Rhinolophus ferrumequinum: one gene and its partner. The protein of the gene in region 2 interacts with the protein of the main gene of each other region in a pairwise test. Links are inferred from orthologs where the notes say so. Each region holds a gene or a part of one and is shown on either strand. Other genes may lie near its edges.

The links. The genes of interacting proteins can lie anywhere in the genome.
Region 1: the proteins of ATXN1 (region 2) and R3HDM1 interact in binary tests that used the Homo sapiens proteins (3 or more experiments, as listed by UniProt). The link is inferred for Rhinolophus ferrumequinum from reciprocal best matches to the Homo sapiens genes ATXN1 and R3HDM1.

Annotation. Positions count from the first base shown.
Region 1 is NC_046291.1:82,811,112-82,821,675, reverse strand, and holds the start of R3HDM1 (R3H domain-containing protein 1), read left to right. Parts: upstream 1-6,697; 5' UTR 6,698-6,863; intron 6,864-10,564.
Region 2 is NC_046292.1:78,027,653-78,038,329, forward strand, and holds the start of ATXN1 (ataxin-1), read left to right. Parts: upstream 1-5,776; 5' UTR 5,777-5,974; intron 5,975-6,940; exon of another isoform or gene 6,941-7,150; intron 7,151-7,170; exon of another isoform or gene 7,171-7,183; intron 7,184-10,677. UniProt on the Homo sapiens protein: Chromatin-binding factor that repress Notch signaling in the absence of Notch intracellular domain by acting as a CBF1 corepressor. Binds to the HEY promoter and might assist, along with NCOR2, RBPJ-mediated repression. Binds RNA in vitro.

The sequences.
Region 1 (10,564 bases), on a different chromosome or scaffold from region 2:
CCATATGTACGTGGGAGTGTTGACTCGGTAACATAGAAAGCGATCAAAGAAGGCTTCACTTAGGAGAAAAAAATGCTTGGTACATAGTAGACCTTGTTTAAACATTTGATGTTACCCTTAAATTGAAACTTGAAGGAGAAGTGGAGTTTGCAGATGGAGAATCAAGATAAAGATATTCTAGGGAGAAAGAAGCCATACTTGCAAAAGCGCAAAGATTCAGAAAATTCTAAACAGTTTACGATAGCTAAAAAATAAGATGCTTGTGAAAAGTGGCAAAGAAATAAAAAACAGGCCATGTCAGGGAGGTTCTCATATGCCATATTAAAAGAGTTGGGACTTTATTTTGTAAGAAACTGGGAACTTTTCCTAGAGTTTAATCAGGTCACTATTTTACAAAGATTACGTTGTCAAATTTGGAATAATGGATGCAAGGGCAGGGCAACCTTTTAGGAGGCTGTCCAGGTAATATCACAAATAGTCCAGATAATACAATTTACAATCTCTTAGCTTCAGATTCCTACATCTAATTACCTACCTGACATTTTGCATATTTCATAGATGTTTCTAGTCTAAATGTCCAAAACCAATGTGTTGATTTTTCTTCCAAATTTGTATGCTCCCTACTCTCTCAGAAATAGTACAATCATGCAAGTTACTCAAACCAGCAACTGGGGTTCATTCTTTTTTTCTCTTTCTCCCTTAACCACCAAACTAAATCCCCTTATTATTAATCATTAATTATTCCTAAAATATATCTCAAAAGTCCATTTCTTTCCAATTGCATTGCCATCACCTATCCCAAGCTCTCACTGCTCAACTGGAATACTGCAATAGCTCCCAACTGGACTCCCCCATGTGTTCCTTAATATTAGTTGGTTTCCCTAAAGCACTTACTGTAATTGGTAATTATTTTTATCTGCTTACTTGAATTTATCTCTCCCTCATTAGAATGCCTTTATAAGCTCAAAGACCATAAACTGTCTTGTTCATCACTGTTTTCCTTTAGCATTCTAGCACCAGCCAGGTCAATAGAAACAATATTAACAAAAAACAACACATACTTACTATGTGCCAGAAACTACTCTATGTGTTTTACATATATGAAGCCATTCAATGCTCCTGTGACACAGGTATTTCATTATCTCTACTTTACAGATAAGGAGACTAAGGCACAGATGGCGAACTAATCTACCCAAGGTCAACCGAGGAGGAGTATGTGGCAGAACTGAGAATCAAACCTCGGGAGCCTAGAGCCTATTCTCTTAGCCATTAACCAGTACGTCTCTTAGTAGAAGCTCGATAAGTATTTCCTGACCAAATAACAAATGAGACAGAATAAGTGAAAGAGGAACAGATTTTGGGGACATATTGAATTTGAAATACTGGGGAAAGGCTATGAGGTATAGTGGGATAAATAGTTTACCAACTAGAGATAAGCATTCAGAAGTTATCGGCTGCTACAGAAAGCCACCTATGAAATGGAAGTCTTGTACAGAAAGTGATTATACAATTTAAAAAATCAGATGTGCTATTAAACTGTAACCATTTAGATCCAGTTCTGTAATAAAAACGTTTTACAGAACACAGAATGCCCCATTGAGCCTTGACTATACCAACATGAAAAATTTTGTATTGTTAATATAAATTGAAATACTTTCCTTTCTTTTGGTATTCAGTATCTATATAAATGTCAAACTTGTATTTTGTTAAAACATAAAAGTACAGAGATTTATTTTTAATTTGACAAAATGACACCAAAATCCATCTAATAATACAAAAGAATGTATGAATGACAAGAAAATGTCTAAAAAAGAGTGGAAGCACACTTTACCTACTAGATATCAAAACATAAAGTTACAGAAATTAAGATAATGGGTATGGTATACGTTAAAGAAAAGACAGAACAATAAAAGATAACAGAGTCCAAACAAAACAACGTATACATAAATTGTAAATTAAATGTAAAAACACATAAAAATTTATATATACATGTTATTTTTATAATCTAATTTCTAAGCATCACAAATGCTTTTCTAAGCATCACAAATAAACTAGAAACTATAAAAAGATTCCAACACTAAAATAATTTAAGCTATGTCATGGAAAAACATCATTAAAAAGCAAAATGGGAGTACAGACTTTCAAACTACGTGACAAAGAGTTAAAAAACCTAAGAAGTAATTCCTTTAAAAGTATTAAGAGACTATGATAGGTAGCAACAGGCTACTCAAAAGAAATTAAACAATAGGTGACATGGATATAAAAGACGCTTAACATCAACAGAATTTAACTACAAATTAAGTTAACGAGGGATCACTTTCTATCAGATTGAATAGAATAAAAGATGGGAAATGGGTGCTCTCAAACACTGTAAGTAGGAAAGAAAATGGGCACAACCTTTCTAAAGAGCAATTTAGGAATCACAGAGTATTTGTGACTAAATAATCCTATTTCTAAAAAGTTAGATTTAAGGGATAATCAGACAAGCATACAAATATGGAGCTCACAGCACTATTGCTCTTAAAAGTTACTAATTGATCCAGCAACCCAAATGTGGGTATATATCCGAAAGAACTGAAAACAGGATCTTGAATAGATGTTTACACACCCAGCTCACTGCAGCATTATTCACAACAGCCAAAAGGAGGAAGTAATCTAAACGTCCATTGACAGATGAATGGATAAATAAAATGGAACACTTATACATATACATACAATGGAATATTATTCAGCATTAAAAAAAGAAGGAAATTCTGTCATATGCTCCAACATGGATGAACCTTGAGGACATGCTGCTAACTGAAATAAGCCCCTCACAAAAGGACAAATAATACTGCATGATTCTACTTACATGAGGCATCTAAAATAGTCAAACTCTTAGAAATAGAAAGTAGAATGGTGATTGCCAGGAGCTGCGGGAGGGTAAAAGGGGAGTTGTTGTTCAATATGTACAGTTTCAGTTTTGCAAGATGAAAAAGTTCCAGAAATCTGTTGCACGACAAAGTGCATATACTTAACACAACTGTAGTACCAGGGGTGACAATTAAGTTCGCGAACTTGTTGAGACAATGTTGCTAACCTTTTTTGATATCAGAGGGGTTATTTATTATGAATTTGTACCAACTGGACAAACAGTTAACCAAGTTTACTATTTGGACGTGCTGAAAAGGCTGCGTGAAAAAGTTAGACGACCTGAACTTTTCGCCAACAATTCACAGCTCTTGCATCATGACAATACACCAGCTCACACAGCGCTGTCTGTGAGGGAGTTTTTAGCCAGTAAACAAATAACTACTGGAACATCCTCCCTACTCACCTGATCTGGCCCCCAATGACATCTTTCTTTACCTGAAGAGGAAGGAAATAATGAAAGGAAGACATTCTGATGACATTCAGGACATCAAAGGTAATACGACAACAGCTCTGATGGCCATTCCAGAAAAGAGTTCCAAAATTGCTTTGAAGGGTGGACTAGGTGCTAGCATCTGTGCATAGCTTCCCAAGGGGAGTACGTCAAAGGTGACCGTAGTGATGATATTCAGCAATGAGGTACCTAGCACTTTTTCTAGGATGAGTTCGCAAACTTAATTATCTGACCTCGTATTCACTTAAAAACGGTTAAGACAGCAAATTTAGGAACTGAATGTTAGAGGCATACAATGAAATACCAGATAGCCATAAAAAATGATAACAGATATTTACTCAGTCATATCCACAGCCTATTGTTGAGTTTAAAAGGTTTACAAAAGAGCAAAGTAGTATGATACCATTGATACATGTCTGTACCTTTAAGAGAGAGACACTGTAAGGATATTCACTAAAATTTAATACTGTGTTTCCTCAAAAATAAGACCTAGCTGGACAATCAGCTCTAATGCGTTTTTTGGAGCAAAAATTAATGAGACCCGGTCTTATTTTACTATAAGACCCAGAATAATATAATATAATACTGGGTCTTATATTAATTTTTGCTCCAAAAGACGCATTAGAGCTGATTGTCCGGCTAGGTCTTAGTTTCAGGGAAATACGGTAGTGGTATCTCTGGGTAATAGGATGACAGATGACATTTATTTTCATTTTTTATATTTTCCTGTTTTCAAATACAAAGAATAGGTATTATATCTATGGCAAAGGATAGCTCAAAAAAGGAAGTGACTGCCACCTTTGGTTCCAGAATACTGGGATGAAATTTTACATTTCTCTTTCACTCTATGTCTGGCATATCTTGGGAGATTAATAAATAGTTGAAAAGCAGGAATGGAATGAGACATATTTGGATATGAATCTCAGCTCCAAAATTTACTGATCGAGGCCTTAAAGTCTTACTGAACTTCATTGAGCCCCACTTTCTTTAACCATAAAATATCAAGAAACAATACTTGCAGAACATTACAGAAAATATGTACTTAAAGCACTAACACATCATTTCTGGCTCAGACGAAACACTCAATAAAATGATGGCCATCATTACTATTTATTGATTTACACTAGAAGAAGCTCACAACAACAAAAAACTAAGTATCTACAGAAGACTATACCGCTAAATTATACAGAAAACTTCAATTGAATTAAAGAACAAGAGACAACTCTTTGTTTGGCGGACACACAACACTGTTGGCTGAAAGGTACGGTTACATTCCCATATGTAACCGGACTAGAATATAAAATGTATCATCTAGTTGGTGCAAAAACACCACTCATGAGTATTGGACAGACTTATCAGTGCTTCAGTAAAAAAAATAATGTTGATGAAAAGGGAAAATACACTCTTTCTAATTCACAGGTAGAATGGAAAGAGGTGATGGAATAAACACACAAAACATGACTAATGACTTAATTTAGAGACAGATTAAAAGAACGAGTAATGTTGCCATTAATTTTTGTTTGGCCTGTCTTCCTCATTGATATTGGACAAGGAGCCTGTCTTTTTAGCACTGCTGTATCCCCAAAGTCTGGTATAGTGCCCAATGTAGTGTGAGTGCTCAATAAACATTTACAAGATGATTTATAAAAGTCTCAGTGACACCATAGGAAAAACTGAAATAGAATTTATCTGAAAAAGTCTCAGTCAAATGATGGGAAAAAGTTTAAGAATGAAAGCCATTAGGCTTGAGGGAGAAAGACCTTTTCTGATAACTCCTCCTGCGTCTCCTTTATTCAATGAGTTTCCCAAGGCACCTCAAAGGGAACGTCCAACAGCAAAGATACACTCAACTTTGCATCCGACGGGGGCATGAACCCGGGCCTACTGGGCTAAACGTATTTGACTATGGGCTCCTAAGTATTTCAATGAGATCTTTATTCATCGGTGTATTATAGCTGGCACCTGTCGTCGACTGGGAAAGGCACCATTCTTGATTATTAAACCTGAGCCCTTCTGTAGCTTTTCTCTTAGGAACCAGCCTTTATAAGTCTGTAAAAGTGGGAGGAATTAGCTCAGAACTTGAGAGCCCGTTGTATACAGTCAGTGACGACATGAAGCCATGCTTCACGCACCGACAGGGGTAAAGGTATTAGAGGCACCCTCTACAAATACGTGGGTGCAATCTAATAGTGAGCAAGTCAAAACACAAGAAAAAAATTAGACTCTGGGATTGAAGACTTGGGGTGGAGAACGGCATTATGGACTTGGGAACCACCCCATCCCATTTCACTCTTTCCTAAAATGCAATTACATTCCGTTCAACTACCTATCTCTCACGCAAGAAAATACAGACTTGCCCCCCACGCCACTCCCAGACGGCCACACCTGGTGTATTCGCTGAAGAATCTCCAACTCCCGCCACAGGTTTGGCTGGTGTCCGCCCCAAAGCGGAAGTGACTTAAGAGACACACACCGAAAGTAAGAGTTCAAATACCAGGATTACAAAACCCTTACGTTCTGAGAAAACTCTTCTCTGATCACCTTCCTCTTCTATCCTTATCTCTTCTGTTAGGGTGGCGAAAAGAATTCACCACAGCCTCGTAACAACTAGTTCTCCACCCTGAACTCCAAATCATTCAAAAGTTTGTCCCTTTTCATTGGCCAGCGGGGCAGCATGGGTACCTCTGAGGAACTACAATTACCGTCAGGAACCGCAGGGAGTAAACGGAGGAAAGGATATGGACAGGGGCAAAGCACGCTGGGAAATGTAGTCCGCCCCCGTCCAAAGAGGGCAATCACCCCGCCTTCCACCCCACTGAGGCTGGAGAAACCAGGTGTTGGGCTTAGAACCCGTTACCGCTAAGGGGAGGAGCCACGTTTTTAAACAGCATTCCTGACTTCCCAGCACATGAAGGATGAAAATTTTCTTTTATTCCTACAAAGCATTACAAATATTCCTTGAAGAAATATGGTTGTCTTTCTAATATCTCCAATTCAGTAAAAACTCCCAGAACTCCCCTACCTTAGGCTCCAACTCGTGGGAAAAGGTGGCTCTTTTACAAGTGGGCAAAATGGCTGTCCTCTTAGTTTTCCCATTGGTTGCCCTTTGCGTCCTTCAAGGGCGGTTACTAACCACCGATTGGTTCTTTTTCCCTTGAGGGTGGAGGAAGACTTGGCATGGCTCTCCCGCGGCCCGAGAGGAGATAAAGGGGTGGAGAGAAGGCAGTATGTCCAGGTGTGATTGGATGATCCTCATGTCACTCCGAGAACGTACAGCCTATGATTTGTCGACTGCCCCTCAAAGAGAACGAAAAGGTGGGGCTAGTGCGTGGTGGGAAGGGGCGGGATTCTGCCAGCCCCGGCCGCCGCTGGAGCCGGTGTCCGGGCTGGTGATGGGGTTAATTCCCTTTCGTAAGACTCGTACTTGCACCCACCCAGCCCCGCCGTCGCCCCGCTGCGCCGCACTCCAGCCGCCTCCTCCTCCTCCTCAGTAACGCGGGTAAGAGATGCCCTCCCCTCCCCCTCTCCAGCTCCCCGGGAATAACGCGCCTCGCTCCCCTCCCCCGCCCTCCAACCGGTAGCGCTAACGGAGAAGGAGGCAGGCAGGGGAGAGATGTGGTGTGTGAGAAGGTGGCCTTCTCCTCCGAGCCGTCGGCGCTCCAGCCAGGGCCCCGCCGAGGTTCTCCTGCTACTGCCAGCCCGTGGGGAGGTCGGGTTCCGAGGGAGTCCGGCTCTCCTGGCCCGTCGCTGCGGCTGCAGCTGCATCCCCTACCTTGTGCCCACCGCCCCCACACGGGGGCCATGTGAAAAGCAAACCCCTGGAGGCCTAGCGGAGGAGGCAGGGGAAAGGTTCCCGAGTCCCTGCCATGGCTGCTGCTGCCCTTGCAGCCCCAGGGACTCGGGAACCAGCCACAGCAGGCCTGCCAGGGACGGGTGCGGTGCGTGGTTGTGCTCTCTAGGGTGGCTGGCGCCGCTGCCTCGAACTCCCCGGCCACCCCACGACCGTGGTCCCCGGCCTTGCACCGGGAGAATTTTTAGAAAGGAAATAAGGCGTTCCGTCGGTTGGTGAAATGTAGGTACATCTTGCCTGTGTACCAGAAAAACACAATGGGAAATTTTAAAAGAAAGTTGAATGACTGTCAGTGCCACGGACTCCGGGAATCAGATTTACACACTTTATGGTTGAGTCTTAGGCTGCCCTCCAAAGCCCTTGTGTATTTGAAGTTTCTTGTCGTTGTTCTCTTTTTTGTTGTTGCAAGGTGCAGAGGAGAGTGCATCTGTTGTTTGAGCTAGCTTTTTTTATGTAGAAACTTCCATTTTTGAGGGTAGCATGCCCCGCGTATAATTGTCCTGGGACAGCAAGTCAACTAAGTAAAAGGTGAAATGCTTTCTAAAACAGTAAGGCTTAGTAAATAGCAGATGATTATTCTAATAAGATTTTCCAGGAAAAAAAAATGTGTATATGTATCTCCCAGATTACAGTTTGCCTGATTATAATTCTGAAGAAAGCCTTTGTTTTTAGCTTAAATGTCATTGATTACAAGAACTTTCAAGTAATGAAAAGATGATAAAAGTCAACTGAAAGCCCACCTTTTTATATTTGAAACAGTAAGGTCTATCTATGTAATATTTAATATGGTAGGATACCAGTATGACTAGAGTAACTGGACACACCTTAACAAAATTTGGCCATATTTAAAAGCAAATGCTTATTCCTCACATACTGAGCCCTCATTTTTTCACTCCTTGCTGTTTTGGCGAGGTGACTATGTCCTTAAATAATAGATTCTGTAATTTATAGTAGACATGCCTGTAATCAGATAAAATTCTAGGCCCACTTCTGAGGCTTGTTACCAGAATCAGAACTTGTGTTCTGAAGAAGTCATTGGGTTTTGCCGAATGTTAGACCCTTTCTTCAGGGTCTGATGAGACTATACTGGCTTAATGATCTTCCATATTCCATAAATAACACACCTAGATACAGAATTGGCATAGATCCATCGATTCAGGACCTGGAAGAAACTTGGTGTGTTGTAATTCTTAAAATGGAATGCATAACCCTGAAAGGTAAGGCCCCTCAGCTCCCCACAGAGTATCCATAGCATATATCACTCAGCATAGCATTTTCTAAAACTTGTTGGTTAATTGATAAATTATATAATTGATGCTGTCAGATCTCATGTGCTTTATATACAGAAAGCGCTGCTAGAAATATAGGAGGTTCCTACGTTCTCTTGTTAGCTGTAGGACCCCACTATGAGTTTCAGTTCAGTTTCCTCATCTGTAAAATGGGGATGATAACGCTTAACTCATGGAGTTGTGAAGCTTAGAGATGAAGTATGTAAAGCCCCTAGCATTGTGCCTAACACAGTATGTATGATTAAATATTAACTATGCATGTTAAGATTATATATATTATGATTAAATATTTCATGCATATTAAGAGAGTAAGTTTTTTATTCACATGCACAGGTGTTGCAACCTCAGCACATGTTCCATTAGTGAGGAGTACTGTGGGGGTTTTTATTTACTTGTATATAGTGACAAAGTAAGTGCAGTTTGCAGCTAGCCATTTTTAGAGTGAAAGTTATATGGGAAATTGGTAACTGGGTATATACAAGTTGCTTATTTTATAGAAGACTTTTTTTGTTTTTGGCATTAAAATGCAAGTGTTTGTGGAATATATTTCAAATGGATTACTTGGAATAAAAGTGGCAAATTATTGTAGTGATAAGTTATTGTAATATCTTTTAAATTTAATATGTTTCAAGATCTAGTTTATATAATTACTACCCATGTTCATTGTGCTACCAGGCTACCAGCAAGCAACAGCTGAATTCCTTTAATACAGCGTTAAGATTAAGAAAGTAATTTGAATTCGTTATGGCCATAGGCTGACTACAGTTTTGTTGGTTTTTAATTTTCATTATTTATCAATACTTGTGTGTTTCTTTTCTGTGAGTCAACATGCCAGACACATTGTTCTTTTCTCCTCCTAGGCACTTGTGAAAGTGTACTGTGTCTTCACACGTAATAGTGTCCTTGGAGTGTGTGCAGTTAGGCCAATTTAAAGTTAGCATGAAAACAGTTCTATTATGAAGTCTTCTGACAGTAATGCCTGGCCAGGGTTCAAGGCAGCTGCACCTTATGCTAAATAGTGAGCTGAGGTACATAATGTTATGGCAGACTTCCCAACTTACTAAACCCAGTACAATTGGATGCTCCTTCAAGGAGCCTTACATGGCAGCAGCAGTAGAAAATGTTATAAAATTGAAATAAGCTTTTTCAAATACTATGCAGAACATACGCATTGCCATGCCTTCTTGCCAAGTAATAAAAGCGATTTTCTTGTCGTGGTACTTTAAAATATCTAATTATACCCATTTGAGTTCATGTTAAATTTTATTTCCTCAAGCTGAGGGTTGATAACACCTATTTTTTCCATTCTTGAAAACGTTACAGTAATAAACACTTTTTTAAAATATTTTTTATTTTTCAATTGACAGTTGACATTCAATATTATATTACTTTCAGGTGTACAGCATAGTGGTTAGACATTTATATAATTTACAAAGTGATCCCCCTGGTACAACTAGTCCCACCTGCCACCATACGTAGTTATTACAATATTATTGGCTATATTCTTTGTGCTGTCCCTGTGACTATTTTATAACTATCACTTATCACTTTGTACTTCTTAACCCCTTCACCTTTTTCACCCAGCCCCCCCCCCCCCCACATCCCGCCCATCTGGCAGGGATCAGTTTGTTCTCTGTATCTATGACTCTGTTTCTGTTTTGTTCATTTATTTTGTTCTTTAGTGAACATGTAAGTGAAATCATACGGTATTTCTCTTTCTCTTCTGACTTATTTCACTTAGCATAATATCCCCTAGATCTATCCATGTTGTCACAAATGGTAAGATTTCATTCTTTTTTATAGTTGAATAATATTCCATTGTATATAGGTACCACATATTCTTTATCCAGTCATCTATTCGATGGGCACTTAGGTTGCCAATATCTTGGCTATTGTAAATAATACTACGAAGAACATAGGGATGCATATATCTTTTCGAAGTAGTCTTTTGAATTTCTTCAGATAAATACTCAGAAGTGGAATTGCTGGTTCATGAGGTAGTTCTATTTTTAATCTTTTGAGGAACTTCCATGTTGTTTTCCAGAGTGGCTGCACCAGTTT
Region 2 (10,677 bases):
AGAGAGCCATGCCAGGATCCTAAGGTCTCCAGCTGAGGGTTCTTAGAACTCATTCATGCACCTCCTCAGCCCCATTATCTATAGCGTGCTGTCCATTAAAAATATAATCTGCGATCCTTCCACACATGTAAATTTTATAGTAGCTACATTAAGAAGTAAAAAGAAAAAGGTAAAATTAATTTTAATAGTACATTTTATGCAATCTAATTATACAGACTATTTTTATTCTAACATTTAATCTATATAAACATTGTTGAGATACATAGACATGTGTGTATATGTATGTAGGTGTGTGTATGTGTGTGCACGTGTGTGTGTGTGTGCACTAAGTCTTTGAAATCCGTAGTATTAGGTTGGTGCAAAAGTAATTGCGGTTTAAAAGGTTGAAAATAATTGCAAAAACCGCAATTATTTTTGCACCAACCTAATATATTTTACACTTATATAACACATCTTAAGTTGGACTAACCACTTTCAAGTGCTTAATAGCCATAGTAGACAATATTGACCTACACTAAAGAACTTGTTTTTGTTTTTAATTGTAGACAGAATCTTATTTAAAATTGTACAATGTGTATACTGTTAAATAATAAACTATTGGCAGATGTTTAAATACAACGATTTTCACTTCACTCTTGACTATTAGTGATGTCGCTTCCATTACCCAGAAGCCTGTTCTGCTACAGTTTAGTGGAGGGTCAAGACAGATGATTCAGAAGTACGTCCTTTAAGAGTCCCTGTGACATACAGAGAGCCCAGTGACTTTGGGTGTGGCGAGCTGACCTCAGAGTCCATTGTGTGAGAGAGGTTTTCACTTTTGTTTTTAGTTTATTTTAGTTTTCTGGTCTCCCCAGCTTCATTTTGGAGTGCAGTCTAAGGAAAGTATATTTGTTTTGCGAGCATGCTATGATTTGCTCAGATTTTTAAATGACATATGTATGATAACACCCTCCTTATTATAGCATGGTTAAAGGTCTGTCAGTGTTTCCATTAAAAATTCAAACTTTCTGGGATTTATTACACAGCCATAACAAATTGCTCCAGACAGAAACTTGGCAAATCCTTCTTTCATGTAGGAGGAAATTCTTTTGAACAAGTTTTAAAATGATAAAAAAAAAATGTTTACTGCTTAAAATTACTCATGTGATTTTTTTTTGTGTGTGTGAGAAGGCAGGAATTCAGATAGAATACGTGTTATAGATTTACATTTTGTTTGTTTTATAAATTTGAAATATTAATATTAGCTTTTAAGTCAAATTTTACTTAAGAGTTGCCCATCCACCTCCCAAATGTTCAATGGTTTTAGTATTTGATTCTCATATTCGGAAGTCTGATTGATGTAATGATTCTTAGAGGTGATGGATGAAGCAACTATGAATCTTTACGTTTCTTCAAGGTAAAAACTAACATTTTTCAAAAGATAAGATTTGTTGTGCTATGAATTACTTGCAGACAGAGATGTCTTACTCATGTTTATATTCTCAGGGCCTAGTTATTATAGATGCACAATAAATGTTGGTAAATAATAAATACATAAAATCATAAAGGCTGTTGGTAAGTAAATAACAAATACATTAAATGCAACTTGAGAATGAAGACATAGTCTCTATTCATAAGTCTCTTATTTAAATATCCACTTATTAACACTGTCTAGTAACTTTGAAAAACCTTTTATTAAACTGTAAAGAACATGCTGTTGGATCTCTAACCTCTGATTTCTCTCTTCTCTGAACTTCTCTCTTCTCTCTCTTCAATGGATAATTGTAACAATCAAATGTCCCAGCGCTATGAAAGCACAAGTCAGTTCCACAACTGTTTTGAGGCTTGCCTTTCTTTCCCATGTCTTATCTACCTGGCAGGAGTGTTTAAAGATGGAATACCGAAGGCTATGAAAGGTATAAAATGCTACATAGATATAATTGACACATACGTCCTCACCACAGTAAACATTAAGGACAAACCCTTAAAATTACCGTGAAAGTAAACATGGTGAAAAGTGCATTCTTTCACCAAGACATTTGAGTCCAAATGAAACAAACTTACCTGACATAGTGTTGGGTTAATTGACCTCAACGTTTTAAAGAGATAAACAGGAGTTACTCTTAGAGTTGCATTATTCTATATTGTATCTTTATTTTTTCCCAATTTTACTGAGAAATAATTGATACACACCGCCCTGTAAGTTTAAGGCACACAGCACGATGGTTTGACTTACATATATTGTTAAATGATTATGTTATTTTTATTTTTGACTGGAGAAAAGCTAAGGCATGTTTTCCAAGTATGACTTTTGAAGTCTACTTTCTTTTAGGAATTCAAGCCTAAAACTCTAAATAAGTACATCTCCATTCTATTTAACTGCCAATCTGTTCACTATTTATTTGTTATAACCTGGTAAGCTGTTTGTGTTTGCTTGTTTTTGTTTTGTTTTGAACTATACAAAAGGCTACTTCCAATGAAAACAAATACTACAATTTAAAACCCCTTACGATTGGGCTGCCTGTACACTTGTTTTATTAAGTACTCTTTTGCTCCCTCTGCTGCCATGAAGAAAACCTTCACGTTCAAGACCCCAGCACTTTCCTCACAGTGTTCTCTTGGCAACGATGATGCAGATTTGTGTATACATCAGAGCTCTTCAAAAATGCAGTACTATTTGACCAAAGCATAGAATGTAATAATTACTCATTAAAAAGTGCAAATTAATAAAAGAGGGAGTAAATAAAAAAGGAATAAATAGGAGAATTAAGTTCTGCATCTGTGGCCAAATTCATATAGACAGAGCCCTGTAGTATAGAATAGAATTTTTCACACTTGAATGTGCTTAGGAATCACCCAGGGGCTGGTTACAAGGCAGATTCTGATTCAGTAGGTCTGGGGTGGAGCTCTCATTCTGAATGTCTAGAAAACTCCCAGATGCTGCTGCTGCTATTCTGAAGACTACGTTTTTCGACACAAGACATAATGATATAATATATTCTTGATAGCCCGTTTTAAACCTTCAAAAATAGATACTACCAAAAACAGTGAAATAGATATAAGGGATGAAAATGATTTTCCATCGTGTTTAAGCAATACAGAACACAAATTAGGAGTAAGGCTCAGCAGGCCTTATTTCTCAATTTCCTTTAATTTCAAAGTTTGACTTATGCTGTACAAATATAGTATCAGGTTTATGAATAGGACCACAGTACTACATATTTGCCTACTGGCTCCTTGAAAGCTCTGCTCTCCTTTCATTGAGTTTTTATTTGCATAAAGAGTCATTTTTAAAGAATTAGTACCAGTTATTTGTGATTGTACATTTACTATTTTGTCATCTGAAAATAAGACATTTCAGTGCTAAAGGTAAAGAAAGTATATCATGAGTATTATGTTTATGTTGGTTGGACCTTGCAGGAAGAAATAGTTACAGATTTTAATAGCAGTTTATGGCTTTAATCTTAATGGCTAAGAAAGTAAATGACACATTTGTTATTATTCTTACTTTTTGGGTAATATACATTTTAGCTTCCTTGAGAGAATATTTAAATTAATTGACTAACCTGAATCATGTGTTTTAATTTGATTAAGTTTGTTAAAATAACTTAAATTTAACTGTTTGTGTCAATGTAATATTAAAATATTAGCTCTTTTTTTACTGAAAATTCTCTAAATGTAAGATGTCTAAAAATAGAGTCGAGGTGGATTGGACAGTCTGCAGATTAGGAGCTGGAATAAAAACATCTCAGTTAAGCCAAAAACATGGCAACCAATATTTTCTGTTATAAAAATATTTTAGATGAGTTCAGTTTTTATGAAAGCTGTCTGAAACTGAAATGAATAGCAGAAGCTCTCTGTTTATTCACAGGCCAGTAATAATAATACCTGCAGCACAAAGCATACGTCTTTTCCTGCAGACCCAACAGCTTCTGCTCCTTTTAGAAGCCGGCTCTGCCGGGGGAAGAGATTATTACCCGGTTATGTCTGAGGTATTAACCTTCACCTTGGTAATGCTTGTCAAGGAACACAACACCAGGCAGAGCCTTTTTAGGAAACTGATTTTAACTGTCCACTAGAGGCTGTAATGAGACCAACAATGTCATTTTACACCAACCCAGTGTTTAAACTGTAACAATCACTGATTTTTAAATAAAAAAAAATAAAAAAAGAAGTTGTAGAAATGAGTAAGAGTGAACTGTAGTAGTTCTATTTAAATAACCATGTATATGTACATGGTATTTCAAAATGTGAGAAAGAAGTTATTTCCGGGGCTCTACACCTTCCTAGTTAGTATGCTTATTTTTTATTTCTGTAGCACGTTGACTCTACAATACAGTTGTTCAAAAGCTGACACATTTCTCTTGGTGATTCTGTATCCTGCTTCGGCTGGTGACTAACCGTTAGGTCATAAGTAAACTTAGCCAAAAGGTTTCTCAAATACAGCTTACAGTCAATAGTGGTGGCTTCCAGAGAGAAACTTACGTAGAGGGATCATGTTTCTAGACACTTGGTTCTAAGCACCTGAAGGAGGTCAAACGCTGCCCGGACACCTACTGGTCTTCCAGAATTACCTGCAGCCAGGGGAACGCCGCAGTGAGCTCCCTTTCGCAGGGATGTGCCTTCTCTTCCTCCAGGTGCCACACCTGTTGGCAAGGTGCACCCTTCGAAAGAAGATTCCTTCCCGTCGAGCTAACACCTGGCGGTGATACGTGCGATGTGTGTGGCGCGCGCAGGGGTCCGGGGGCGAGGGGGAGGAGCGGTGTGGTGGGGTAAGAACCGCACTTAAAAATTGAGTCCAGAGTAAATTCTTCAGCCTGGAATCACGAGAACTGCCATTTGATGCTCGGTTTGCTTTCTCTATCTCCTACACTGGTTACCTCATTTCCGATTAAATTAATGATCCCGAATTAGCTGCGAGAGGAGTGCGCAGGTCGTCTACCAAGGCTAGAGCTGGGTAGAGGGCAGGGAGGTCACCGGCTGTCCCAGGCAGTAAAGGTTAGGGGCACGTGCAGTCCGGGGGGGGGGTCCCTTAAAACTTTCCAGAGTTGCACGCAAAGGCACTCCCCGTGCCCCGGTGGTCTGGGTTCCCGAACGCCGAAGCTAAACCGGTTTGAGGATTAACGTGAATGATGATCGCAGTCAGCCCTCTTGGACGCTTTTCGGCGCGCCCGGAACCAAGGGCACGTAGCAATCAGAACTGGTTCGTCTCCCCTCCCCCTGGGGTATTTCATTGGCTCTGAGCCGGAGAATCCTCCAGGGTGCCTGAGTTGCACTCCGTTGTCGTTCTGTCCCCTCCAACTAGGTGCAGGGACCCAGGGAAGGGAGCGAGGACCCACCAGTCACCGCTACAATTACCTCATCGCCTCACTTCCCCGCCCCTTTCCCAAACCTGGAAGAACTGTCCCCTCTGACCCAAGTCTCCCTGCCCCCCTCCCCCCACCACCCACCCCCGATCCCGAGCCAGTCTTGGGGGGAAACGCTCCAGTCTCTCCGAGGGCCGCCGAGCCCGGGCCGCTCGCACCGAAGGATTAAGGGCGCGGGCCAGCCGCCCGCCGTGCGCTCGCCGGGCTCCGAGAGGCTCGCCCCGCCGCCCGCCGGAGGGTGTCCCCCCTCCTATCACCCCCCCCCCGTCGGATCCTTGAGCTGCGGCGGCGGCAGCCAACTGCTCCATATTTGGCTTCTATTACACATTTACATACTGGAGCGAGCGAGCGAGCGAGCGAGCGCGAGAGAGCGCGAGGGAGGGAGGAAGGGCGGAGGGAGGAGGGAGGGAGGGGAGGAGAGCGGGGGGAGGAGGAGGAGGAGAGAGCAGAGTATACCGCAGACATCATTTCTACTACAGTGGCGGAGCCGTACAGGACCTGTTTCACTGCAGGGGGATTCAAAACAAGCCCCGTGGAGCAGCAGCCAGAGCTACAGCAGCCGCAAGACACTGTTTCTCTCCCTCTGCCCCCCCTTCCCCACGCCACCCCAGATCCATTTACACTTTACAGTAAGTGGCGATTTTTTTTCTCCTCTGATTCTGTCTCTCCCCCTCCCCCATCCCCTTCTCCCCTGATTTAGATTAAGATGCCCCCCGTTCTCCTGAGAGGGGCCAAAGCAACAACCAGCAAACAAACCCCAAACCCCAATCGGCGGCACCGAAAACAGCTGGAAGAGGAGCGAAGGAAACCGACGCGGCGTGTTGTGGTGGTGGTGGGGTGTGTGTGTGTGTGTGTGTGTGTGTACACACAACCTTCCTCGGCTCCAGCCTCCCGAAGCGACACCCTGCTCAGGGTGCACGGACCGCCAGCAGGGGGGCTGTTGGGGGCCGGGTGGGCGCCCGCCGGGTGAGGGGGCGCGCCCGGGCTGGGGGCGCGGGCCGGGAGAGTGGCGGTGGCGGCGCCTCGCTCGGGCGGCTGCTAGTCCCGCTCGCGAGTGTGGAGAGCTGTGTCCTTATCCCTGGAGGTGGCATAAGGGAGGCGACAGCGGCCAGGGGTCGCGCTGCCCACTCCTGTCGCCGCCCCCTCTTCACCCTTCTACCCAAAGAGGGCGGCGAGAGCAAGCGGGTCTGGACGAGGCTGGGCTGTCCCGCCGGTGGCCGCCTGGCCTCGGAGTCCCACGGCCGGGGTCTACCCACCGAGGCCGGCCTTTCCCGGCGTGCGGCTGCGGAGCCAGGACTCTGCGCGCGGCCCGGCGCAGGCTGTGGGAGCGCGGGGGGCGCGGAGGGGTGGGCGCTGGGTCGCGGGCGTGCGGGTGCCGGGAGCGCGGCCGGAGTGGTGGCGGCGGCCCTGGCTCCGCTACCACCGCCGCCCTGTTGGTACGGCCGCTTCCTGATCCTGTGGCCGCCGCCGGGAGCCGGGAGCCCGCGAGCGCCCCAGCCCGGTCCGGCACCCCCGCCCGCACCCGCGGCGGGAGGAAAGGAGCGGCAGCAGGCGCTGCCCTGTGGGCGCCAGGAGTGAACCGCCGCGCGACTGCTGGGAGGGTGAATGAAGCCAGGAGCAGGGGAAGGAGGAGGCGCTGCGGCTATTGGGATGCGCCCCGGAGCTCCGCTGCTCGTTCACTCCTGGCCGGGCCGGAGACGCTGCCACTCCCGCGGCCGCCGCCGCCGCCTCCTACGTGGTCCCAGCGCAGCGCGCAGGCCAGCCCCGCAGGGGGCAGGGAAGGGGCCGGACGGGCGGAGCGAGAGGTGAGGCGGTGGCGGAGCGCGGCGGGAGTGTGAGTGAGTGAGCGTGCGTCTGTGTGCGCGCGCGGGGCGGGGGCGGGGGGGTCGTCCACAGGGGCCGTCGCGATGGGGAGAGGGCCCGCTGAGGCCACTTGGCTGACTGCAGCGCCTGACCCCTCCTCAGCCCCCCGCCCGCAGGCCGCCTTCCCAAACTCCATGGCTTGTGCTTTCATTTTATTTCAGACCACGTAGGGGGCTGACTGGAAGCAATGAAACAATCCAGGTTTTCTAGGGAGATTAGCAAGAACCTTGGTGGGGGTGGGGGGGGTGGAAGTAGGGTGGTGGTGGAGCTCCTGCCAGAAAACAAAAAAATCCCTTCCTAAGGACTGTGAGGTTCGGTTTAGTCCCGTGGAGGCTCTGTTTTGTTTTGCTTTCTTAGTATATAATCCTACAGATAAGAGGGTAATATAAATACTTCGGAAGATTGGGAATTGCTGAAGAGTGAGTAGTAAGGGCGGAAAAAAAAAAAGCCAGTCGGAAGCTGGTTATATAATGCGCGATGTGGCTAACGAGAACGGCAAGCTATTTTTATTTTGTTAACCGTATGCTGTGCAGTAGGGACTCCTCCAAACTGGTTCTGTACCCGAAGAGATTCTTAGCTTCCCTGTGAGATCCACAGGATACAATGAGCCAAATTAGAAGACCCCATTTACACCCACAGCCTTGGAGTGGCATACTCCCTGCACATTCTGTCGTGCATGCACGGGAATGCGTGTATGCAAATAAGTTCTCCTTTGGCAATCTAGTAGTCACAGCTCGATGACATTTGTGTTTTATAATGCAGGCTGTTCTTAATATTTAAACATCATCCTTACATATCGCACACAGCAGTTACTTGATGGTTATTTTTAGGCTCAGCTAGTTACTTTTCAACATTATTAGCTAAGCCAGTTCTGTTTGGGTTTCTGAGGAGCCCTGGAGTTCCTAGAAGCCCCTGTTAAGCCCACCTTGTGGTTTATTTGGTGGGTGAAGATTGTTTGATTGTTGAGCTTTTGTTTGAAACGAAGCTTATGCCTAGGGAAACCACCAGAGAGGAGGACAAGAAAATCCTGCATATAAACTCTTGGAGAGGGATTGCACCATAACTGCTAAGGCTGTGGCATTTAATCTCCTCTGGCTGCCCTCTAACTGTACATGCATCAGTCAGTATTTTAGCAGCTCCACAGACAAATGGGCTGCTACTTAAAGCAGAGGTTGAAGTCTCCCCTGAACCTCCTGCCTCCCTGTCTTTCTCCTCTTCTAGGTACGGTCAGTGGTGTAGGTTTTCAGTGCACTTACTCCAGCCCCGATCACTCATGTAATTAGATCAGGCTGCCATGGCAACAGACACTGTTCCTTGTCCATTCAGGTGGGTTTGTTTTGTGCTTGGACTACTCCAAGTGTTTTATGCACAGTATTTGTGCTGCCCAAGCCAGACGAGAGACTTCACTATTTCAATTGCGTCTTCTTTCAGTCATTTGGACGGGAGACACTGAATGAGGCTTCTCGCTACTCTTATAAAGGAGACCAACAAGCTGTTCTTACTGGGTGCAGTATGTAAATGTCTCTCCCCAGACAGTGAAAGGAGCCTGACAATCCTGCTGGTGTTTATTGTGAACAGATCAACAAGTATTTGGTACTTGTTAGAAACCTTTCAGAGCTGACTAAAGCAACATTTCTTTTGCCTTCTGGTACCATTGGCCTTGCAGGCACTTAACCCTTTCAAGTGTGAAAGTGCTCATCCTTTAGAACCTAAGTTGCCAGTTAGTCATGACTGGTTTTCGAAAGGGTTTATTCTGCAGAAGGAATTTATTTGGGAAGGATATCACCATTGTCATGTTTTAAAACTTTACAGCCATCATAATAGAAAAATCTAGGACTGACTGTCAGGAGACAGATATTCTGAGTGTATTCATTCTTCATTTGGATCTTTTGGCCATGATCTTTACATCTGTGGTAGTAAGTTCAAAGGTTTTTGTCTCAGGAAAGAGGACATAGGCCTGTAGCTGTTAAGACTGATAATGTGTGGTGCTTTTGCATAATAAACAACTTGTACTCTATTTTGGGATATAATTTAATGAGCATTTAATAATTTAGAGAATAGCAGTCTACTCTTTGCATTAGGGCACCACCTTATTAAGCCTGTTAAACAAAGAAAAATAATGCTGTTGCAATAAATAAATAAAAGAAGGAAAGAAAGAAAAGGAAAAAAAAGTAGCTTGGTTGTGGAAACTCTCTGTTCCTCAGGCAATCCAAATAGAGGGAAGTATTTTAGTAACCCTGATATTTGAAAGTAAAAATAATTGAGAATAATCATGTCTTGATTTAGTTGTGAACCTGCCAGTTTTGGTTTACAGTTTTATAGCCCCATAGCTAAATTGGGAAATCCTTTTTTCCCCTAAGGCTAGGATTGAGAGAGCTACTTATTCCTGGGTGGGGGTGCAGTTATGATTTCTGCTAGTGAGTTTATTATACGGTTGGTAACTTGATTGTGGCCTGCTCAGATCAAGCTTGCAGTGGTTAAAATGAGCTATTATTCCTAGGAGGTAAATAGATGGGAAGCAGTGATATAAAATAAAGCACAGAAGTGTAAGTTTTACAGAACACCTTGGATGATATTTTGCAACATACAGGAAATTGTTTTATTTGCAATGAAATGTGAACGTGTATTTTTAAATGCACAAATTCATGCTAAAATAAATATGAAAAATGTACTTGATTGGGAACTGTGAAAGTTAATGTTTTCCTCTCTGGATTTCGTTTTAAGAGGGTTTGGTAAACAGAAGTGAAACTATCGATTTTAGGGCCTCTTTTAGAGAAAGGTTTGAGAAAAACTCTTTAGCCATCAGTTTATATACATCAAATACCTGTAGGGCCCTACATTTCAACATACCTTAATCAGTTGTCTGGGAGTCCTGGGAAAGGTCAGCCTGAAGAGATTATTAAACTATTAGTGAACACATTTCTATGAGTCCTGTTTTTGTTGTCATTACAGAGTTTAGAGACTCACATTCCTTTTGTATAATATGTCATTTTTTTTTTTTCCATTCTGAAATGTCAAGTGGATTTTACTTTGGCACTTAACTTCAATGACAGTTTTTGATGACTAACATATTGTGACACCGGTTCATTTTGTTTCCTATTAGAAGTTAGTCAATAAACATTTTACTAGAACCCTGGAACTTAGTAAACGTAGGCATGAATGTTAATTCTTTAAACTATAGCTGTCTGAAAGTAACACATAGTTTAGACTCTGAAGAGCTTAAGTACTTGCTTTGTAAAGGGATAGTGCAGCAAGACAATATCATTTTTGCGGGGGGAGATAGTTTGAATTCTATTCTTTTATGTTTTCAGAGTAACTCAATACTTTGAATGATTGCTTTCTGTGAGAGGTTTAGATATGAAGCAGTTTAACTGCTTCAAAGAAGAGATTTAGTTCTGGTCATACTTCCAAAGTTATCAGAAGCAGGCCCTCCTTATTTTGTTAAAAGCATCAAAAATAATAAATCGTA